Linked DNA regions of Drosophila melanogaster. The protein of the gene in region 2 interacts with the protein of the main gene of each other region in a pairwise test. Each region holds a gene or a part of one and is shown on either strand. Other genes may lie near its edges.

Region 1 (6,443 bases), 330 kb from region 2:
ACACTTGGCCGTTCTTCAAGCCCACCATTAGTCCTTCTCTTCCCACGGGGCCACCGGTGACTTTGATGTATCTTATGAACGAGTCCATGATCCACTCGCGCTGCAGGACACCCATGAAATCCAGACATTGGAGACGCTTCTCCTGGCACAGGACAATGTGACGGCCACAAACAACCAGCAAGCTGCAGTCGAACTTTTGCTGGATCTTCTCGCGCACTTTATAGTGCATGGGTTGATCCTCTCCAGAGCTCAGCTCATAGAGAACCACACGTTCCGGCAACTGAACCGCCAGTCGATTCCGATAAATGGCTATTTTCTGAACTAAATCTCGACACTTGATGCGCACCTTTTGGCCAGAGATCAGGTGCTGAATGATCACGTCGCACATGTTTTCCCGGAAGGCATAGCGCTCGCGGTAGAGGGCATGCACGGTACTAGACGCAATGTTGAAGCAGGCCAGGGTTCCATCTTGACACCCAATGGTGTAGGATTGACCATTGGGATGTAGGGCAACTGTCCAGATCCAGGTGTCAAAGGTATCGCCCAACGTACCCAGCCGAATGCCCTCCCTGGTGAAGAAGTGTAGACCTCCAGTGCAGCCGCCCACCAGGCAGAACTCCCCATTGGGAAAGTACTGCAGGCACAAGGGATCAAAGCCCAGGGTTCGCTCCTTGCCAATCATCTGGCCGCTCAGAGTGTGAAAGGATAGCGTTTGGCTCCAGTCCACCACACCGATGGTGTCCACACTGCCAGGACCGCTGGCCGGACAACATTGGACACTGAAGACGTTGCTGTTGGGCCCACCAGGCCGATCGATTCTCCCCTTCTCCTCGCCCAACTTGTTCCTAATGGATATGGTGCCATTGGCCAGGCCCAGGATCAGGTACTGTCCATCATTGGTCCACGAGCAGCCATTGACACGCGCGGATATCTTGTACTTTTGCACCGCCTTCTGATCAGCCGACCAAAAGGCAAAATCCGACAAGGAGCACGAGGCCAGGTGGTGCGAAACAGGATTGAAGCTCATGCACTGTATGGAGTCACCGTGCCTATGAATGTAAATATATTTTTATATTTATATAAAAAACTAGAATTTATTGCAAGTGTGCTGAGAACTCACGAATACTTGAGCAGTCCCTCAAGCTGAGGTGACCACACGATGACCATTTTATCGGAGGCTCCGCTGGCGAACCGCTTGCCATCCCGCGAGTAGGCCACACAATTGACCGTATCCTTGTGCGCCTTCAAGGTGTTCAGCAAGGAGCCATCGTTTGGATCGTAGATGAGCAACCGATCCCCCGCAGCCACCACCAATTGGCTGCCATCGGGTGCGTAGCACACATTGTGGACACTGGAAAATTGGGTTTTGCAAATACCGTTATGGCGTTATAGCAAGCAACAGGTTGTTGTTTTCCACGAATGAGAAAGCTTTACCTGATCTCATTGTCTTTGCTATTGGGAAACTCTATGCGTTCCAGCCACTTGAGAACACCCCTCATTGTTGCAGAAGTCGAATTGGCTAATCCTGCATAGTTGGTAGAAATTCCTAAATGCAGGTGCGTTGTTTACACACAGATTCCATGGCAACCAACCACAACAAAAGTTGGCGTCTTGGCTGGAGATGGCAGTTTGGCGGGTTTTTCCGTTAGTTTTGGCTTTTAAAACTAGGACTTGACTAATAAACTAGTACTAGTAGTAAAAACAATTTATTTAAAACATAGCCTCATTATCGTTTACCTAATTGTCTAAGTGTACAATATTTAAAAAAAGTTTCTATTACTATCTGAAATGACCGTTATAATTTTTTTTTTCGTGCAAAGTAGTTGGCAACGCGGTAATTGACAGTATGACCAAAGCCAGTGTGCATAAATGCCTAGTTTCGTCAAAACAAAATAAAATAGAATTGTTTTTTATATCAGAACTATTGTTTGTTTTTAAAGGATTTTAGCTACATATACGCTTGAAAATGAACAATTTGGACAGTTCATTGCAGGCGCACAATAAATTGGAGAAGGTATGTCTAGTTGTCATGCTCAAAACCTCCATACTTACCCATTTTCCTCATAGGAAGCCACCAATTTAGCTCTGCTGAAAGATCGAGTGGATAAATACCATGATCTGTCCACGCAAATGTCCAGTATTCTAACAATCTTCGAGAAGCGCCTGGGAAACCTGGAGCAGACCATATTGCCCGTCTACCAGGAGACGGAGCAGCTCCAGAAACGGCAGCAGAGTATGAAAATAAACTCAATGGGATTTCAAAAAAAAAAAACTAATGTGTCACCGCCTCTTTTTTTTTTTAGATCTGGAAGCTACTCTCAATTGTCTGGAAAGCGTCCTGTCCCACTACGATGTCTCCCAAGAGGTCTGCCAGTTGATTCATCAAGGCCCGGTGGAGGGAAACATCTCGGTGTTCCTCGACGCACTAGCCAAACTGCGCGATGCCAACGATTACTTCCGGCACAACAATTCCCAGAGCGTGGAGCTGGAGAATGTCACCAGTTTGTTTAACACCGGCTGCGAAGGCCTGAGTCAGCACTATAGTATGCTCCTCAAGAAGCACAGTGCTCCGCTGAAGCCGGTGGAGTTGCTGGATCTTATCTACATAGAGGACGATTCCAGCGATGAATACACCTCATTCCGGCAGCTTTCGCAAACGACGCGCGAGGAGCTGTACACCATATCGCACTGGTTGGAGCAAAATTTAAGGGAGTACACAAACATCTACGCGACGGAACGGGGCGAAGTGGTTCTCCGATCGCTGCAGCTGCTCAAGGATCACCAAAAGAGCAACAGTTGGGGTCACGAGGCTCTGGTGAGTAAACAGTTCTTTCATATTCTAACTAGTATTAATACATATATATTATGTGGAGAAAAATAGTACGTAGTAGAATATGAATAGCGATGTGTACGATGATGAGCATATGTATGCTTTTCCCATCTCTGATCGTTTCGGTTAACGGTGTCTGTTCGAAAAAGCTTGTGCATGTAAGCATTACATGTCCAATTCGATGACCGCCATTTGCCAGCTTGAATTCGCAAAGAACGCATCATTTTCTGTGTCACAGTATCTAAAAAAAATGGAGAATTCTCGCACGCCCACGAACAAGACCAAAATTACGCTTAATCGCACGCCAACGCTAAAGGAGCGCAGATGGAACACCCTGAAGGTGAACACCTCCAACGTGCGATGCTCTACTCCGATCTTTGGCAACTTCCGTTCGCCCAATCTCTCGCCCATCGAGAATATGGGCACGAAGGGGAAGAGTCCAGTGTCGCCCATGCGGTTCGCTACCTTCAAGAAAGTGCCAACGAAGGTGCATCCCAAGCAGCAGCAGCAGCAGCAGCATCAGCACTGCCATCGCACTCAGCTTAAGCCCCCGCCATTCGTGCTGCCCAAGCCGCAGGAGGAGATCATCGAGCCGGAGCGAGAAATAAAGAGCTGCAGCAGCCCGGATACCTGTTCGGATGACTCGAATATGGAGACCTCACTGGCCTTGGAGTCGCGTCGTCGTTCCATCAAAGCATCGAACCACTCGTACGTGGTTAACCATGCCGCCAATGTGGAACAGATTCTCATGCACATGGGCCTGGAGAACTATGTGACCAATTTCGAAGAGGCTCACATCGATCTGGTGGAACTGGCATCCTTGGAGCGTGCTGATCTTGTTAAAATCGGCCTAAATACCGATGAGGATTGCAACCGTATCATGGATGTGCTCCACACTCTTTAAGTGAATCGCTGGCATGTCCATCTTTTATCATACACTAAGATTTTAAAATGTTTTATGTGAAGAGAAACTTTGTGATTTTAATATATGTGGATAATTAAGTAGGTATTCTAGAATTATTGTAAAAGACCTGGTGTCTTAAAGCTCGTCGTTTTTAGCCTTAAATAATAAACTCTAGTACACTTTAAGAATCTATGTAATTCCTAAAATGTTGCTCCGAAGCTCATTTACAAATTTAAATTTATTTCGTAAGCTAGCAAATTGCATAATACTTTTTGTCAAAAAAAAAAAAAAAAATTGGGGTATAAACGCTTTTGTAAAACACACATTTTTAAAATTAATAAACTCATAAGAATCAAATGCATATTAAAAGGTTACAAAAATAAGAGTTTTTAATTTGCTACCATTTTAGTACCTTAATTATTCCGAAGAAACATTAATGCAATGGCAATTAACAATTCAAATTAATGTTTTTAAAATGTTTTCTTGCAGAGACCGCGACACAGTGGACGCCAAACGGAGCCAAAAAAGACAACCTCCGCTCGTCTTCAGCAAATGTGAGAAATATTACTTAATTTCCAAGTTTTCGTATATGATATATTTAATTTATTCTGCATAGATTCGAAAAGAAGGCGAACAAGTTATATTTACGCGCGACGCAGACGATTGAGCAGTCCACAGGGTTCTCCATTAAGAAGGCATCATCGCACAGCGACCACCTGACCTCCGAGGATTTGATGGATGGCGATCAGGAACTGGACAAGTATCTGGTCATGTTGCTGGGACTGCAGCGGTTACTTAACTGGGAGCGAGCCATCATGATCGACATTATTCCCCAGTCGAAACACAACGAGGTATTCGCCACCTTGGCCTATAATGCCATCGATCTGGTGGTTAAGGACGCTGAGGCCATTACGCAACGCATCCTGCGCTGCATTTCCCGCAAGGAGTGGACCTCGGCGTTGGGAATATTCTCCGCCCTAAAGCGGGTTATACTGCTGCAGCCGGATATTGACCGCACATACGATCCTGCGCAAAGGGAACAGTTGAAAAAAGTACTAAAAAAGTTGCAGCACACCGGTGCCAAGGCATTGGAGCATTTCCTGGACGTAGTCAAGGGCGAATCGAGCACCAATATTGTGGGCCAAAGCAATGTTCCAAAGGATGCCACCGTGCACGAGCTGACCTCCAATACGATCTGGTTTATTGAGCACTTGTACGATCATTTCGATGTTATTGGTTCCATTTTGGCACAGGATGTCCTGTACTCCACGCAATTGGACACCATTTTGATGAAGAAGGCGCTGCCAGTCGAGGAACGCAATAAGGCGCTCTTGGCGATTTACATAAGTGAGTGGCAACAAGATCAATTGTGCGAACATTTTTAAACCACTATCTATATTTTGCAGAGAAAGCTTTGGCCGAACTGAATCTTTCCATAATGAACAAGTGCGAGCAGTACAATGACCAGGCCACCAAGCACCTCTTCCGACTAAATAACATTCACTATATCCTCAAGTCGCTGCAACGCTCCAATCTTATTGATTTGGTCACCTTGGCTGAGCCTGAGTGCGAACATAGCTACATGGAGATGATACGTGAACTGAAGGCTAGCTATCAAAAGACCTGGTCCAAGATGCTGGTCGGCATCTATTCCTTGGATGAACTGCCCAAACCAGTGGCCGGCAAGGTCAAGGATAAGGATCGCAGTGTGCTCAAAGAGAGATTTTCTGTAGGTTTTTATTTTTAAAATAAGCTAAACTTTCTTGATTTAAAAAAAAACATCCTCTATAATTTCCAGAACTTCAATAAGGACTTTGAGGAGGCATGCAAAATCCAGCGGGGCATCTCCATACCCGATGTGATCCTGCGAGAAGGCATCAAACGTGATAATGTGGAGCACATACTGCCCATCTACAATAGATTCTACGAAATGTAAGCGTATATAGGGTTTATCAGCTTATACCTAACCATCTTGTATCATTTTTAGTTACTCTGGAGTGCATTTTAGTAAGAATCCCGACAAATACGTCAAGTACAGACAGCACGAGATCAACGCTATGCTGAGCAAGCTCTTTGATGATTCGGCTTAGATGTTAAATGCAGGCCAGGCTTTAAGTGCATTCCTTGTAAGTTCGTTGGGGGGCTTTAATTCAAACTCAATAAATATCGTTTTAAAAAAAGTACAATACAAGACTATAGCCTACAAATATTAAATGCCAAGTGAAATGAAGACGCCACGCATACATACGTCCTAGTAAAGGAAGTTAGTGGATGGTGCTTCGGGGCGGCCACAGGCGCCGTAGTAGTTGACGTTCACCGTCTGGTTCGCCCTGCAGTTTTCGATCTCCAGGAAGCAGTCGTTCAGATACGTTTTATTGTCGCTGCCGCAAACAGGCTCGAATTCCCTGGGACAGATGCGGGCACATCCTTTAAGCTGAAAGGCGGCAAGGCAGCGCTTCAGTGGCACCACGAAAACATGCTTGCCACAATTCTCCTTGCGCATGTGGCACTCGGACTTGTACAAGTTGTTGTCCGATCCGCAGACGAAACTTGGCGGCTGGGCATCACAATCCGATTCGCAGTCGGCGGTTAAAGCGCAATTCTTTAGCGAAACGGGCACCACACGCAGATCGCAAGTGCGCCGCTTGAACTCGCACATGGAGGCGAAGGTGTTGCCATCCGAGCCGCACACTGGCTGCTGTTCCAGAT
Region 2 (4,683 bases):
AGTTATGGCTGGATTGCAATATTGGTTTACCACATGGTACTCACTTGATGTTCAGCACCACCCTCGGCCTCCTCGAGACGCTCGGACATCTGAATGACCTGAACGCTGAGATCGGCTTTCTCGCGCTCGATCTGAAATTTGAAGAATATAAGCAGAGATTAAGAAGAGATTTCATTAGCGACTTGGTATAATGTGAAGGATCTATAAATACCCTGCGCTAGCCATGCTCTGTGGCTACTCAAACAGCCCATAATAAAAATTATAAATCACATTAATCAGTCAAAAATAATTATGCACATGCAACACCTAAAATAACAATGGCATCTTGCCAAGAAATCTTCCACGCAGAGGTGTAGCCATAGTCCGATTGCATCCACGATATATGCGTCTATATATGCGTATATATCTTTTGTGGGCGGCCGCACACCGCTTTCCTAGATTGCATTTCCAAAAAGGCATTCGAACATTTTTCGCTTGAACAGAAACATTTTTTGTTGGCTCCCTCGGAATCTAAACATTTGCTTTTCGCCTTTGTCGACGACCTCGTTTGGTCAATTTTGCGAATTGCAATTAAATGCTATTTTATGAAAGCTATGTGCGGCCATTGGGATTTCTGGTATTTGGAGCTGTCCGAAGCAATCATAAAAAATTCAGCTAACTGAAATGCCCCAAGCTTAAATAAAGAACGTATTGGTCTGATAAATCTCTTTTAAATCTCTCGCTGAATATGTTTGTACATTTATGTTTATGATAATACCTAGGCGAACATGTGTTTGTCCGTTCATTTGGCATAACAAAAAGTTGCCGATTGCCACAAAGGCCACGTAAGTACGGGCCGTAAATCCATTTGCGCCATATGTATCTTGTAGATACATGTTTTTGCCGCCTATATATGCATATGTGGATATGTAGAAAGAATGCCAGGCGGTGTGAAGACTTTTAATGTGCATGAAAATTATTTAATTTTCCCACAGACACACGCCCACAGACAAAAAGCGAAGATTTTCCCGTAGTGAGCGAGCGAATTTTCCTCTCTGCCGCCGCTGATCATGAAGATGGTGATGATGATGACTTTTTGGCTACTTTATTTTCTTTTCTTCTCTGCTCATATTTTGGTTGTTTTCAAGTTAATCATTCGCTTCTCTGTATTGAATGTCGTGCGCTAATTTTAGCCATTTTGTTCCATATATTGTGAGTGTGTGTTGGGGGGCGTTGTATCTGTGTGCGAGTGCGTGCTAATCCATAAGGCACAAAGTAATTAAATTTGATTTTTTAACAAAATTTTCAGAACATTCCTGGCCAGCCCATTCCATTCCGGCAAGAGCTCTTCGCATTTTCTAAATTTGTAACGCCCAAGAGGATTGCGCTGAATGAAGTGCACTTTCGGCCTGCGAATTTTCCCACTTTTCTCTGGCTGTTCCTGACTTTGCTGTCTTTGCGGCCGCTGTCTTTGCAAAGTCAGGGGAAAAATCATTTATCAATGCTCCGCAGGGAAGGAAAAGCCAAAAACGAAAGCGATTGAAGTTCAATGCACATCATTATCATTTACTTTCACACTTTCGAAACTCTACGAAGGGTAGTTTATTCTTAGATTTGCATTTGTTTGCTGACTTTTCTATCGGTTCTATCGCTACTGCTACTTTGGTCTATTTTGATTTTATTTTGGCTTTCCACATATTTTTGCTGTTTTTAGGGTGACATTTGCGAGGTGAAAAAAGTAAAAATGGTTTTCCCTGGCGCTTTGATTTCCATTGGGTCTCGGAGAATGCGGTCTGATCTTTTCTAACTTCCTCGGATATGTCATATCTCTGACGCCGATTTCATCAGCAAATAATCTTATTGACTAAAAACGATGCTCTCAATAAATTAAGAATGTTCAAAAATATTCCAAAGAAACCTATAGTAATACCTTAAAAATACTCGGTTCAAAAATAACTTAAAAATATTTAAAATTATGAATATTTCCATATTGAATGACTCACCCTTTGGCGCAACTCACGTTCAACTTCAAGATCATCTTGGAGCAAACGGATCTTGTCCTGCAAGAAAATGGTGGATACATTTATTGAGTTTGATCTTTTATGGGCTCGTTATTTCATATTATTTGATTAAAACATTCATTAAAAAGCACTTTACAGCACAGTTGATTGATTTCTTCACAAATTTTTCTTCGATGTTTTCTCGTGTATATGTATTGCCCAGAGGTGGCCATTACATAATTTTTTAGCAATGCATATGTATATACAGACACGTTTAGATACATATACAAATCTAGAATTTTGCTTCACCGAATTTTCTATATTTCCACACACAAGAACGCGCCGAGAACTTAACACACGAATATATATCTACGGTATATATGTGCATTTGATATAGAGTGTAGATGAATTTTTCGGGTTTCTTAGTTTGTTTTTCGTATTTTTTCTTGATTATATTCCGATTCTTTTTCAGTCTCTACACAGACACCGAAACAAGAGAGAGAAATTCTCGTAGATTTTGAAGAAAATTTGGCGCACACGCATTTCGTATTCCTATTCCCTGGTCGGAATTCCAACGTCTTTTTGGGGATTTGGTGCCCAATACGATGCCGATTTCTTAAACGATACCGGTCCGCTTCCAATTACGAATTCGAATTCGAGATTCCGAGACGGAGCGGGACGGGATCCTTACCTCCAAGCGGGAGAGCGAGCTCAGGTCCTGGATGTACTCGATGTTCACATCGGCGGTACCGGGTCCGGTGGACGTGGCACGGTAGGAGTATTTCGAGGAGCGGACAGCCTGCGATGACGACATGTTTGCTAGGTCAGATTTTCGATTTTGGTTCTATAAATTAATGTGCGATCGGTTCGCGTATCTAGTATTATGATTTGTGTGTTCCTCTCAAGCGAAAATCTATACAGCACCGCACGCAGTTTTGTAGTTGTCACCGAGTCACCGAGAAAATTCGTAATAAACGTCGGAGTAAGGCTGGTGATCTACTGAACAAGAGATCCCGTTGTCGTTCGAATAAAGAGTATTTCGTTGAATTGGTTTGGCCTGCCAGCTGAATTCGTCTATTTCAACGATTTATTCGGTTCCCTTCGGGAGCCTTCGGTCGCCGTCGGGCGCCATCGGCTCCCCGCCGATCGGATCCGAGTGGGATATACCCTGAGATATATCTATAAGCCACCACCACCACCTATGTGAATGTGAGTGGGACTTTCGAGTGACTTTTCACGCGGCCGTGTTGTTGTGTTAATTGCTCAGTTGTGTGGAAAATTCTTTGATTTTTCATTTCACTTGGGCCGAAGCTTGTGTGAACGCATTTTCACGCTAGTTTGCCTGAGAGCTTGCCCCCTACGAAAATAAACTCAAAAACACGAAGTACGCCTGCTTTTCTTGTCTTTTCTTTTCTATTGCTTACCTGTAATTAGCCTGTGTCATTTGTGCGTTTCATTTTGTGTATCTAGCGTCTGGCCAGAATGTATCTACACATAAATTTTCCCAATTCTCGAACGTACATACATATAAGTCATGTTGAAATATTTGGCATCCTCTGCAGATCATAAAGTTCATAATTTATATTTATTGGCACATTTTCTTGGTTCAGGGGCCTCGGATATTATTTAAAAGGTAGTGCCAAACCAGTATTCCAGCACGTAGTCCCTAGACTATAAAGATTGAGATATAATTCTGGGAGCAAACTTAAATAGAATGATTTGACTTTTGGAAACGGTTTCTAGAACATTAGAACATCTAGAATATTGAATACATTTAAGCGTTAGAGACTATATATGTAAATATTTGAATCGATTGATTTCAAATTGATTTAGCATATATTATTATCAAAAAGAAAAGAGGCTAGAGCATGAAACCCCAGCCAAATATAGAGCCCAAATATATATGCTATACAGATCTCAGGGGTATTACAACATTTTTACACAAGCAGAAAAATCATAAAAGTGTCAAAATTTTCTATGATATGCCTTCTAAATTATTCGCTAACAGCCAATTAGGATTACAGCAATGTTTTCTAAAAATACTTGACTTTTGGCATCGAAACGTGTTATTCGCCAGCATAAATAAATAGACGTAGAGAGTGTGTGAAAAAAAATTGTGCGAAATAAACAAAAATATACAATTTTGAGTGAATCCTTGGCCGTGCGGACAGCAGTCTGCTCAGCCTCAGACAATGCGATGTCATCTAACAATTGTTGTTCAATGGTCACGTAGATGACTGTCTCTGCATTATATCTTTTTGGCAACTGACGGGTCTCTCCATGTGCCCCCATAGTAAATACATATTGTGTAAATAATTTCTGTTACATTGCGAACACGCTTCGTTCGGCGATTTTTGGCTCACTTTTCCAAAGGAACCGAAGCTTTTCGAGTGAAAATTCTCGTTCGTCTTCGAGCGATCTCCTCCACCTGTGCTCCACACACAAACACACATTTGCCTAACTATACTTAAAAATGAATTTTCGCTTATTTTTAGCAACCGAATTTCGTGTTATTTGTGCCTTTTTTCTCGGCTTGCTCATAATCGTGTTCATTTTCCACACACATTTCACCTGAGGCCAACTGACGCACACATCTAGAGCTCTAGATGGGCTAACCATCCTTATATATTAGAGCAGTTTCTTGCTCCGTTCGCATTCGTATCTTTTAGATACTTGGCTCTTTGCTGGCCATAACTTTATTTAT
Region 3 (4,318 bases), on a different chromosome or scaffold from region 2:
ACACCGAGTGGGCGGTATTCAAGTTCGATGGCGCCCAGATTATTGTACATGCGCGCGGTCAGTGCTTTGAGGAATTCCGACAGCAGTTCGGCGACTCGGAGCGCGCCTTTGGCTACATACGCATCCAGATGGGTGACGAGATGTCCAAGCGCAAAAAGTTCATCTTCCTGACGTGGATCGGGCAGGAGGTGGGCGTCATCCAGAGGGCCAAGATGTCCACGGACAAGGCGCTGATCAAGGATGTCCTCAACGTGAGTAGCCAATAGCTAGAGATGCCAGAGCCCAGAGGCAGAAATAGATCCTCTCATCTCTAATCTCTTGCAGAATTTTGCCGTGGAACTTCAGGCGGGAGTGGAGGCCGAGCTGGACATTGAGCTCTTCCGTGAAGCACTGAACCGTGCCGGCGGCGCCAACTACGGAACGGGCATCCGGGATAACTAAGCGGCCTCCAAGTTACTTTACATATACATTTTTTTTTGCAACTCTTAACTGCTTACCAAACTGCTCCTTTCTCTTTAATTATTATGAATTAATTTTATGAAATTTAAAAACTGTACATTTTATGAAATATTATACAAGCAATTGTAACATTACTGGGTCCTCTTATTTATCGTATAATCATAATCCATAGTGTCATTCAAAAAAGGTAAAAGAAAAGTTTTCAATACCAAATTTCAAGAGCGGATGCAAAATCATTATCAATGCCATACATTTAATTGTGTATATAGTGGGACTGATGAATTACTTTGATGATAAGACAAAAATTTTAGCCACCTAATACTGAATACTGAAGTGGACAGATATGCCAGAATTTGCATTAGAAAATTCAAGTTTCTATAGTAAAGAAATGTTCTCGTTTAAACTAGTCTGGTTTTCTGAACATACGCTGGATGGATCGATTCGAATTTAATAAGCGCGAAATGAAAATGGACTACGTTGTTGAACTAAATACTACGGAGATGATGAAAATGATGAGAAAAATTATCTAGTTGCTTTAGTTCCCGGGCTCTGCCTCTCGCTTCCTAGCGGACCCTGAAGAGTACCGAGTGAAGTGCATCGATGTCCACCTCCACGCCAGACGAGTTTGTGGTCACGGTGCGAGAGCTACGGCCGAGAACGTTGAACAATACTGCTTGGTATCTTTAAAGCATATCACTCACCTGGCTTTGTGCACCGAGCGACGGGAGGAGTGCGGATTAACCAGCACACAGTGCATGGGCTGGTCATCGAACTGACGATGGTGATAGGTATCTACGGCCTTCTCGGCATGTTCCAGTGACTTGTAAATAACTTCGGCGGTGCCGGGACGCACCACACGAGCGTCGTACACTGGGCCGATGTCGCTAAAAAGCTCGCGAATATCCGCAGTAGTCACGTTAGTATGCAGATTGCTCACCAGCAGGCGGTATCCATCCTTTGTGTTCGACGTACGCAGCGACAATGGGGATGGCGAACGGCGCTTGTTCTTCGATGGAGCAGCTGCATCACCATCACTATCAGTACCGCTATCGCTATCCCTAGCACCACCGCCACCAACAGCCTTTCTCCGGTTCTCGTTGGCGTAGATGCCATGAGAAATGTGAGGATCCCTCTTACCGACAAACAGACGAGACCGCAGCGATTCTGGGAGTTTACTTGTGCTTGCTGTGTCGCGGTGGCGGCGCTCGAGAGGCTCCTTGGTGGTATTTGAGCGTCCAACTACGAGTCGGTTGGTCAGCGAAGGACGCTCAATGCGATTGCGGGCCGCCTCGTAAATGGAGAATGCATTGTTATCTATTTTGTTATTTAGTGGGGCCATGGACATCTCCACGTCGTCGCCGCGGTTCAGGTCGAGCCCACCAATTGAGTAGCGTGGCGACGCTTGCTTCATTTGCCCTAAGTGCAGTGTGCGAGATATTTCCTCTGAAAGTAGAAGAGTGCTTTTTAGGAACGGCTTGGCAGAGAAAGGCACTAACTAACCATCCTCGAGGTCCTGCATATTATCAAGATCAATATAGCGTCGTGGAGCAAAGGGTTTGCCCGGCTTATGGGATCTGGGGTCAAAGGTTCGACGCAAGCCGGACAACATGTGGTTACCCAGTTCAACGACCCCGTCGTCCGAGTCCCATTTCGCCTGAATGGTGCCGTCCGCATGGTTTGACATGCTAAGGCGGTGACCAAACTGACCGATGTGCACTCCCTTTCCGCGTGCGCGATGTGATGGCTCAAACGACTCTTCTTCGTCATCAATAAGTATTGGGCCCGCCGAACGGGCCTTCTTTCGCTCCAGCAACAGCTGGCGGGCATCGATGCCCGAGTCGCGCACGCTCTTGTTGATCAGATCCCGGGCATCGGCTATCTTGGCCCGTGTCTTCGCGGCGATCGTGTTTCTGGCATCGAAGGTGCGCTTTGCCGGCGTATCAGAGTGAGATCCTCGGGCACCCGATGGCTTGAAAAAAGGCTTGTTCAGCAGCTGGCGCGGCTTGGAGAAGTTCGCATTGCTGCAATGGAAAACGCATTGAGTGACATTCTATTTTTTCGGCTGTCCTGTAAATGTACTTACAACTTTCTGTCGAGGGGACGATAGCCGCGTTGCCCGCGCTTCCGCTCTATAATCTCGTCCAGACTCAAATCGATGTCCATGGCTCACAGTATACGCTTTTCACACCTTTTCCTAAGCTATGTGTGAAGTAAAAACAACCAGATTCAAATTATCCTGACTATTCGAACTACGTTCGTAAAAAAAAAATAGGACTGGCGTTTCACTGGTGACACTTGGGGTGGCAAACTATCGTCCAGCACTATCGATAGCAACTATCGCTTAAAAACATCTATGTTATTCTGGATATAAAATGTAAAAAAGAAACAGCAATATACTAACACTTATACAAATATACGATTAATACTATTAAACTACTTGTTCATTTACAAAAACAATTTTTGCATGTCTTAACATTAGTTTGTAGAAGATTGAAAATTCTCAGAACTGTCAATGATATATTAAGCTACATAATACGTTTTATCCACTGACATTACGAGTCACTAATTCACAGTGTGCCCCTTCGCACAACCGAGAACAATCGCGCTTAGGTGCTAGCCGACGTCTGGTCTGGTAACACTGATACCTGCGCAACAACAAAAACAACACCACATACTAAAACAAAAACCTCCGTGTGCTCTTCAGTCCTTGAACGCTCACCGGGACTGCCATTGTATGACTTCGATGAACAGAATTTGGCTTCACACTCTCTTCCTTCAGTGTAGGCCATGAGTGCGCCTCTTTTCACCCTTTAGTCGCTTTTTACGACAAGCCGGGAACGCTCAGGTAGTATTCTTCACTCGCCACCACACAGGACACCTGTTCGGGTTTAGCCACCTTCTCTGTTGGCCATCTCGTCTGATCGGACACGTTTAATCATTTTAATGATTAGACTGTGTCCCAGCTCCCATGCCTCGCTCTTTGCCAATATAGCTGCGAACAAGCCACTAGGGCTGAACGGAGCACCTGACTTCGTCTTTAGCTGCTCCCTCTCCATCGCAAACCTGGAGCAGTGCATTAGCACATGCTCTTCTGTTTTCTCACAAATGACGCAGAACAATCGACGTAGATAGGCCCGAATGCAGCCATGGTCCGTGTGAAACTGGGTTAGGTGGTAGTCCAAGCATTTGTGTTGGCACTCTGCCCAAACCGCCGACTCAGGAATGAGCTGGTAAGACCACCTGTTCTGCCACTCACCCAACAGCCACTCGTCGGTAAGCGCCACCCCGCTTTAGGCCGAGAGCCTTGATCTCCGATCAATTGGCGGCCTGCCAGAGTTAGTGCCGCGTCTTCACATATTGTCCTGAATCCTCTAATGAGCCTGAGGGCCATGGCTCCTTTCAGGTATGAACCCCTGCTTGTAGCATTGCTACAGATTGGTGCAGCGTACAGCAGCGAAGCCAGTTTCCTGGCCAGATAGCTTGGACCACCGATGTTGGGCACCAGTCTAGCCAATGAAGAAACTGTGACTGATGCATTCTTGCTGCCGTAACTCGCGTGGTTCTATCATAGCACCCAGGTACTTGAGGGACTCTTGGGAGGTCACCTGTGTCGCATTGACAGAGGACTAGCATATTCTCCACCTTTTTCCTGCTGCTTAGTACTTACTGCTTCGGTCTTGCGAGCCGCTATTGCTAGCCCGGCTTTCCAGTGGACGGCAGCTCCAATCGTGGTGTTACATTTGTCCTGCAACTCTGCAATTGTTTTGGCGACTGCTGTAATTGCCGCATCGTCTGCAAAACAGTGCAGCTCTACTCCCAAGGGCCTGTTGATGCTCCTCTACTATCGTATCCTCGTCCA
Region 4 (4,851 bases), on a different chromosome or scaffold from region 2:
CGTCCTCGTCATCGGGTATTCCATCTCCATCCAAATCGTTGGCACTTTTCGCGTCCTCTGTGGAATCCAATTCGACAGTTTCAATTTCAATCGTATCTTTCTCATCAACCGCAGAATGCCCACCATCATCGTCGTCATCGTCGTCGTCCCCACGTGGCTGATCGGATTGCAGTTCTCCAGATCCATCCCTGACACCATCTGAAATCGTATGAGTACTCCGATAGATTAATAAAAAAAAATTAAATGGCTAAAAGGATTTTCATTATATTTTAAAAAGATATGACGTTGATTTGTAGCTATATGTTAATTGGTCTATTAATACAATTTATTAACACGTACACGTGTATGAATGTTGATGGTTGAGTTTTTTAAAACATGGAAATTTTAGGATGAATCATTCAATTAAGGAGCAGATTTAATAACTATATTATTAATTCATAAGATGGTTTTAACGCAATTGAAATTCTTCAGATACTCAAGATAGCCCTTACCTGTTTTCAATTCATGAATAGCCTTTTCAATGTAGGGTCGACATTCTGATTCGCTTGGTCCGACATCGGCATTGACAAACCCAACTGAAAATCGTTAAAGAGAACATGACAGGTCAATTTGTAATACGAGTATATCCAAACATACAGCCCAGATATCGGAAAGTCCAAGTTATTTCCAACCGCCCCATCCTAGAACAATGGTCGCACTTTCTCGGTTTGATGTCACCGCCATCAACGAGGTCATTCTATCTGCTCAAACTTGACATTATTTATGGTACTCGTCGAAAGCAAACATACACACTTCGGAATATATATATATATGTATGTGGCGGATTTATGAATTTTATTTTTAAAAGATGAAAACTCAAACACATTTTGCCAGTTTGTGGATGAGTAAATTTCTATACCATTCAGTTGGCTGCTCGCCCACTTTGGCCTTACTTCTTCAGTTTTTGTTTCTTTTGGCCACCTTACTGCTCCGAAAAATCCGGATGCGGGGGCGAACCATTTGCAATGGAACATTCTATTCTCTTTCCACAGCATTTGCTTTTTGGTAATGGAAGGTCGCGTTTTGAGTGATTGGTGGACTGAAAGTATGGTAAGGTCGCTTGGCTAATTACTTTGGAATTTTCAGGCACTTGGGACAAATGTCGTCGAGAGATTAGAGGGATATTCGTACATATATCTGCCAACAACCTGAGCTCAATTAATTGCGATTTAAATGAGTTTGCCTATCAGTTTTCAGTGTGCAGTTTGCTTGTCGGCGGATAATTCTTTTGATTTATTTCTGGGCGTATGTGGGCGGAAGCTATTTGAGCAATTTCGTATTTTTCATTGCTAACCGCATTGATAGAATTATTTATACAAATTTCGCCTGCCAACCGATTGCCAGCCTGCATATTGTGTTTATGTTGCTGCAATCGAGCCCATCTTAACCCATAATATATAGTACACGGCATTTGTGCCGTTGCTCATTTATCATTCAATTTTTTCTTTTTCTTTACTGTTTTGCAAACTTGAGCAAACCAAACAAAATATATAGAGAGACATTTCGCACACACAGGCGGGAAAATAGATAAATGGAAAGCACTCGCTGAGCGCAAATAAAATAACTTAAAAATATCTAAATTTAAAATATTACAAACGATGACAACGATGAGCGGCCAAGCGCAAAAATTCTCAGTTCTCTTAAGAAAAAAAAAATAGGAAAAATCGGCAAAAGTTATACATCTGTATCTGTATCTGTGCTGCCACTAGTTGGTTGGCCAAGTCAAGTGTACGGGGCTATACTAATATACCAATGCTCAAAGTGTCGTCCACTGACGTTTGCAGACACCAATACCGACCCGAAAAAAAAGAAATAGAGAATGTATAGAGAACGCACAAACTCAGGCAAATATTTTTAAACGTATATATTAATACATATTTTTTTCAGACTCGTTTCTTCTGTTTTTCTTGGCTTTTTGTTTTAAAATTGCATAATGCCTGCCCAGGCTGTGTGAAAAACTGTCAAGATATTCGAAAAGTGCCAACTCGCCCTTTTGCCTTATATAACGCGGGGAGGAACTGGGGGTAATACACTGCAAAAAACATTCGAAGTGTACTTACCATTATTGGAAACGGCGATTAACGTTAGTCCCAGTAGGAACCAAATGGTTAGCCGCCCCATAATAATCAACACAACAAATTATCCTCGAGTTTCCAGCGTGGTTAGCACTTTAGCCACGTCATAAATCCTCCTTACAAGTTTTCCGTAATTATGAATAATTAGGGAAAATTAGAATTAACACTTTTGCTCGTATTCTGCATATATATGCATCCGCTATATATGCGCTCGTTTAAATGCACTAAATGAAAAGGATGAAGAATTGGGAAAACCAACGATTATTTAAGGCCAGAGAGCCAATGGATGAATGAATTGGATATATATGTGTGTTTTTTTGGAAGTCCGATGGATATATATAAGTATCTGAGTAGGTATTGAATTGGGTTCGCACAAATTTTGTCACAGTTTCAGTTTCCAATTTTGCACTTGTTCGTTATTTCATTCACTTTGCAGATCGATGGATTTTGATTTAGAATTAAATATCTTAGATTATGGATTTAGAAAGTTTTCGCGCTGCCGTTGGCAAAATTTAACCAACAATCGTCGGCTGGGTAATCCTTAGTGTCCCTTTCGACGATTGTTAGCCAAATAATTTGCTTATTTCTGGCCGTCGTGGTCGTCTTTTCTTTTCGTTTGGGTCGTCTGTGCACGTCGTGTGCGTGTCGTTTTTTGAACAGGGCAGCTCGAATTTTCCCAACACCTATCACATCTATTTTCTATCTAGTCTGAATGTCTGAAGGAAGGAAATTTCGGTTTGCCGTACACGAGTATACGAGACGATCTCTCCCGGTCCAAAACCAATTCGTAACTCAACATGCATATACCATGAATTTACCTTGTGACCGCGAAAATTATTCGATTTTGATATTTTCGTAGCACGAATTTTTGTCAAAAGCACACACAGTTGAGTGAGTGAGTGGCTTTTCACATTCGCCTGATTTGAATTTTCATTTTTATTTCGGTTTCCTCTCGCCGGGTGGCGGCGCTCTCTGCCGGGATTTTGGGTACAACCCGGCGGATACGTGACAAAAAACCTTTGAGGAGATTAATGGGTTTATGGGAAATGGAAATTATTTTCAACATTTCTGAAATATATTATTACCAGTTAGTAAACTTTAATTAGATATTGATGATTAGATATTTTCGTAGCTCTAGATCACTTTCTCTCTCGGCACTTTCGTTTTGGAGGAATGTTTAATTATAGACAATGCGGTGCTCATTCCGCAAATTACTCAGAGCATCTTTTGAGCCAAAAAGAATATTTCGAAATCAAAGCGTTGGCCCCTTTGCGATTTGTTTCGTGTCACAAGTGCTTAGGTTCCATTTCCCTCAAGCTCTCCGCACATGAGTTGAGATTATGAAAACCAAATGTTAGGGATTGAACTTATACATTCCGCTGTAGCATTTATCATTGCTCGCTTATATGGTTGATTGCACCAACAGCTGTTCGTTGGTTGTGTTCCAAGGCTAAAAGTTCTGGTGCAGCCCACCTCACTTCGCCGCGGACAAGTGCAAATCTGTCCCAAGTCATTGCGTTTATTAGCCTAATTAGAAATGGCAAGTCCCCATCTAAAATTGCGGCAGGCCGGGGTGCATTACGTATGCGTAATGGTTATGTAAGACACGATCTGCCTCATCGGGCATTGTTTTATTCTCGAAATGATGGCTCATACATCTATTGAACGGCTCATTTAGTTCTTGGTTTATTGGATTTTAAAATCATATTTATTTTTATGGTTTTCGTCTCGTCTGGTCTACTTTATGACCCTTAGATGCTATTCATTTTAAATACTTAGATACCTAGTTCTAAGTATTACTAGACATATTCCAAACCTATGCTAAAATTTTTCGTTTTAAATAGTTTATGCATATATTTTGGGACAGTTAATGGGCCTCGTTGCCCTTCTCCTTGTTCTTCATTCGACTGCAGTAGTAACGGTCGCTGTTCTCGATCCAATCGCAGACATTCAGGACCGTGTGGAAGGCCGTTCCCTCCTTGCACTCGAATTCAACGGGCTTGCCATGGACACAGCGGAAGTACTGTGGAAATTTTGGAAATATTGTTTTTAAATACGATTTTTTCAGTTTTATAATTAAGTGTTTGTGCTAGAAAATAAACGTATTCCAAAAAACACATTTATTTGTATCTATATTGAACATTTAAAATAAAAGGCCAATTCATTTCATGGCAACAATATACATTTTAGTTTGGTAACCGAAATAAGTCATCCAAATACAAAATACATACCATCGCCTTGAAGTATGCACTACTTTTTTCAAACTATTAGCTCTGAAGAACTTCTTATCCTAAATACTAACCTTTCGGCAATTGGGATGTGGTACAAAGTCACGGTTGGTACAATCGATCTCGTTGGGATCGAACTGCGGTCCCATAGGCTGCTCGGGATCAGTGGGCTCCACTGGATCCACTGGGTAAACAACTTCTTCTGGCTCCTCAGTGCTCTTTTCCGGAGCAGGAGTGGTTGTTGTGGTGGTTGTTGTCTTCTTTGGCTTTTTGGGCTTCTATAGAAATGATATAAATATTAAATATTAAAATATTAAAGAAAAACTTTATCTATAATATAAAACCAGTTAAGCTTTACCTTTGTGGTTGGCTTCGGAGTGCTACTGCCAACAGTTGGAACAGGACCTGGAGCGGATGTTGGGCTCAATGGACTTGAAGTTGGCTTCGGTTTTGGTTTTGGCCGCTTGGTAGTGCTAGTAGTTGGTGCCACCACTGCGCCCTCATCTGGA

The links.
Region 1: the proteins of Prm (region 2) and Exo70 interact in a two-hybrid assay, tested with the Drosophila melanogaster proteins (one large-scale study listed by BioGRID).
Region 3: the proteins of Prm (region 2) and CG18259 interact in a two-hybrid assay, tested with the Drosophila melanogaster proteins (one large-scale study listed by BioGRID).
Region 4: the proteins of Prm (region 2) and CG9297 interact in a two-hybrid assay, tested with the Drosophila melanogaster proteins (one large-scale study listed by BioGRID).

The regions. Positions count from the first base shown.
Region 1 is NT_037436.4:8,409,995-8,416,437, forward strand, and holds Exo70 (exocyst 70), read left to right. Parts: upstream 1-1,856; 5' UTR 1,857-1,966; coding exon 1,967-2,014; intron 2,015-2,052; exon of another isoform or gene 2,053-2,067; coding exon 2,068-2,233; exon of another isoform or gene 2,234-2,303; coding exon 2,304-2,815; exon of another isoform or gene 2,816-2,831; intron 2,832-3,017; exon of another isoform or gene 3,018-3,080; coding exon of another isoform or gene 3,081-3,734; exon of another isoform or gene 3,735-4,109; intron 4,110-4,223; coding exon 4,224-4,288; intron 4,289-4,350; coding exon 4,351-5,081; intron 5,082-5,140; coding exon 5,141-5,463; intron 5,464-5,532; coding exon 5,533-5,666; intron 5,667-5,721; coding exon 5,722-5,824; 3' UTR 5,825-5,916; downstream 5,917-6,443. Other genes in the region: Oseg1 (outer segment 1), read right to left, coding at 1-1,049, 1,121-1,351, 1,435-1,499; mtrm (matrimony), read left to right, coding at 3,081-3,734; CG32354 (uncharacterized protein), read right to left, coding at 5,986-6,443. UniProt on the Drosophila melanogaster protein: Required for exocytosis. Thought to function in intracellular vesicle targeting and docking before SNARE complex formation.
Region 2 is NT_037436.4:8,742,293-8,746,975, forward strand, and holds the start of Prm (paramyosin), read right to left. Parts: upstream 3,019-4,683; 5' UTR 2,794-3,018; coding exon 2,671-2,793; intron 2,040-2,670; coding exon 1,983-2,039; intron 132-1,982; coding exon 45-131; intron 1-44. UniProt on the Drosophila melanogaster protein: Paramyosin is a major structural component of many thick filaments isolated from invertebrate muscles.
Region 3 is NC_004354.4:18,780,754-18,785,071, forward strand, and holds CG18259 (uncharacterized protein), read right to left. Parts: upstream 2,742-4,318; 5' UTR 2,623-2,741; coding exon 2,543-2,622; intron 2,481-2,542; coding exon 1,960-2,480; intron 1,903-1,959; coding exon 1,161-1,902; intron 1,105-1,160; coding exon 1,023-1,104; 3' UTR 512-1,022; downstream 1-511. Other genes in the region: CG6891 (uncharacterized protein), read left to right, coding at 1-251, 325-441.
Region 4 is NT_033777.3:13,769,659-13,774,509, reverse strand, and holds the start of CG9297 (uncharacterized protein), read right to left. Parts: upstream 3,016-4,851; 5' UTR 2,933-3,015; intron 2,914-2,932; exon of another isoform or gene 2,861-2,913; intron 2,643-2,860; exon of another isoform or gene 2,489-2,642; intron 2,339-2,488; 5' UTR 2,161-2,338; coding exon 2,100-2,160; intron 576-2,099; coding exon 492-575; intron 199-491; coding exon 1-198. Other genes in the region: Cht5 (chitinase 5), read right to left, coding at 3,982-4,137, 4,417-4,620, 4,701-4,851.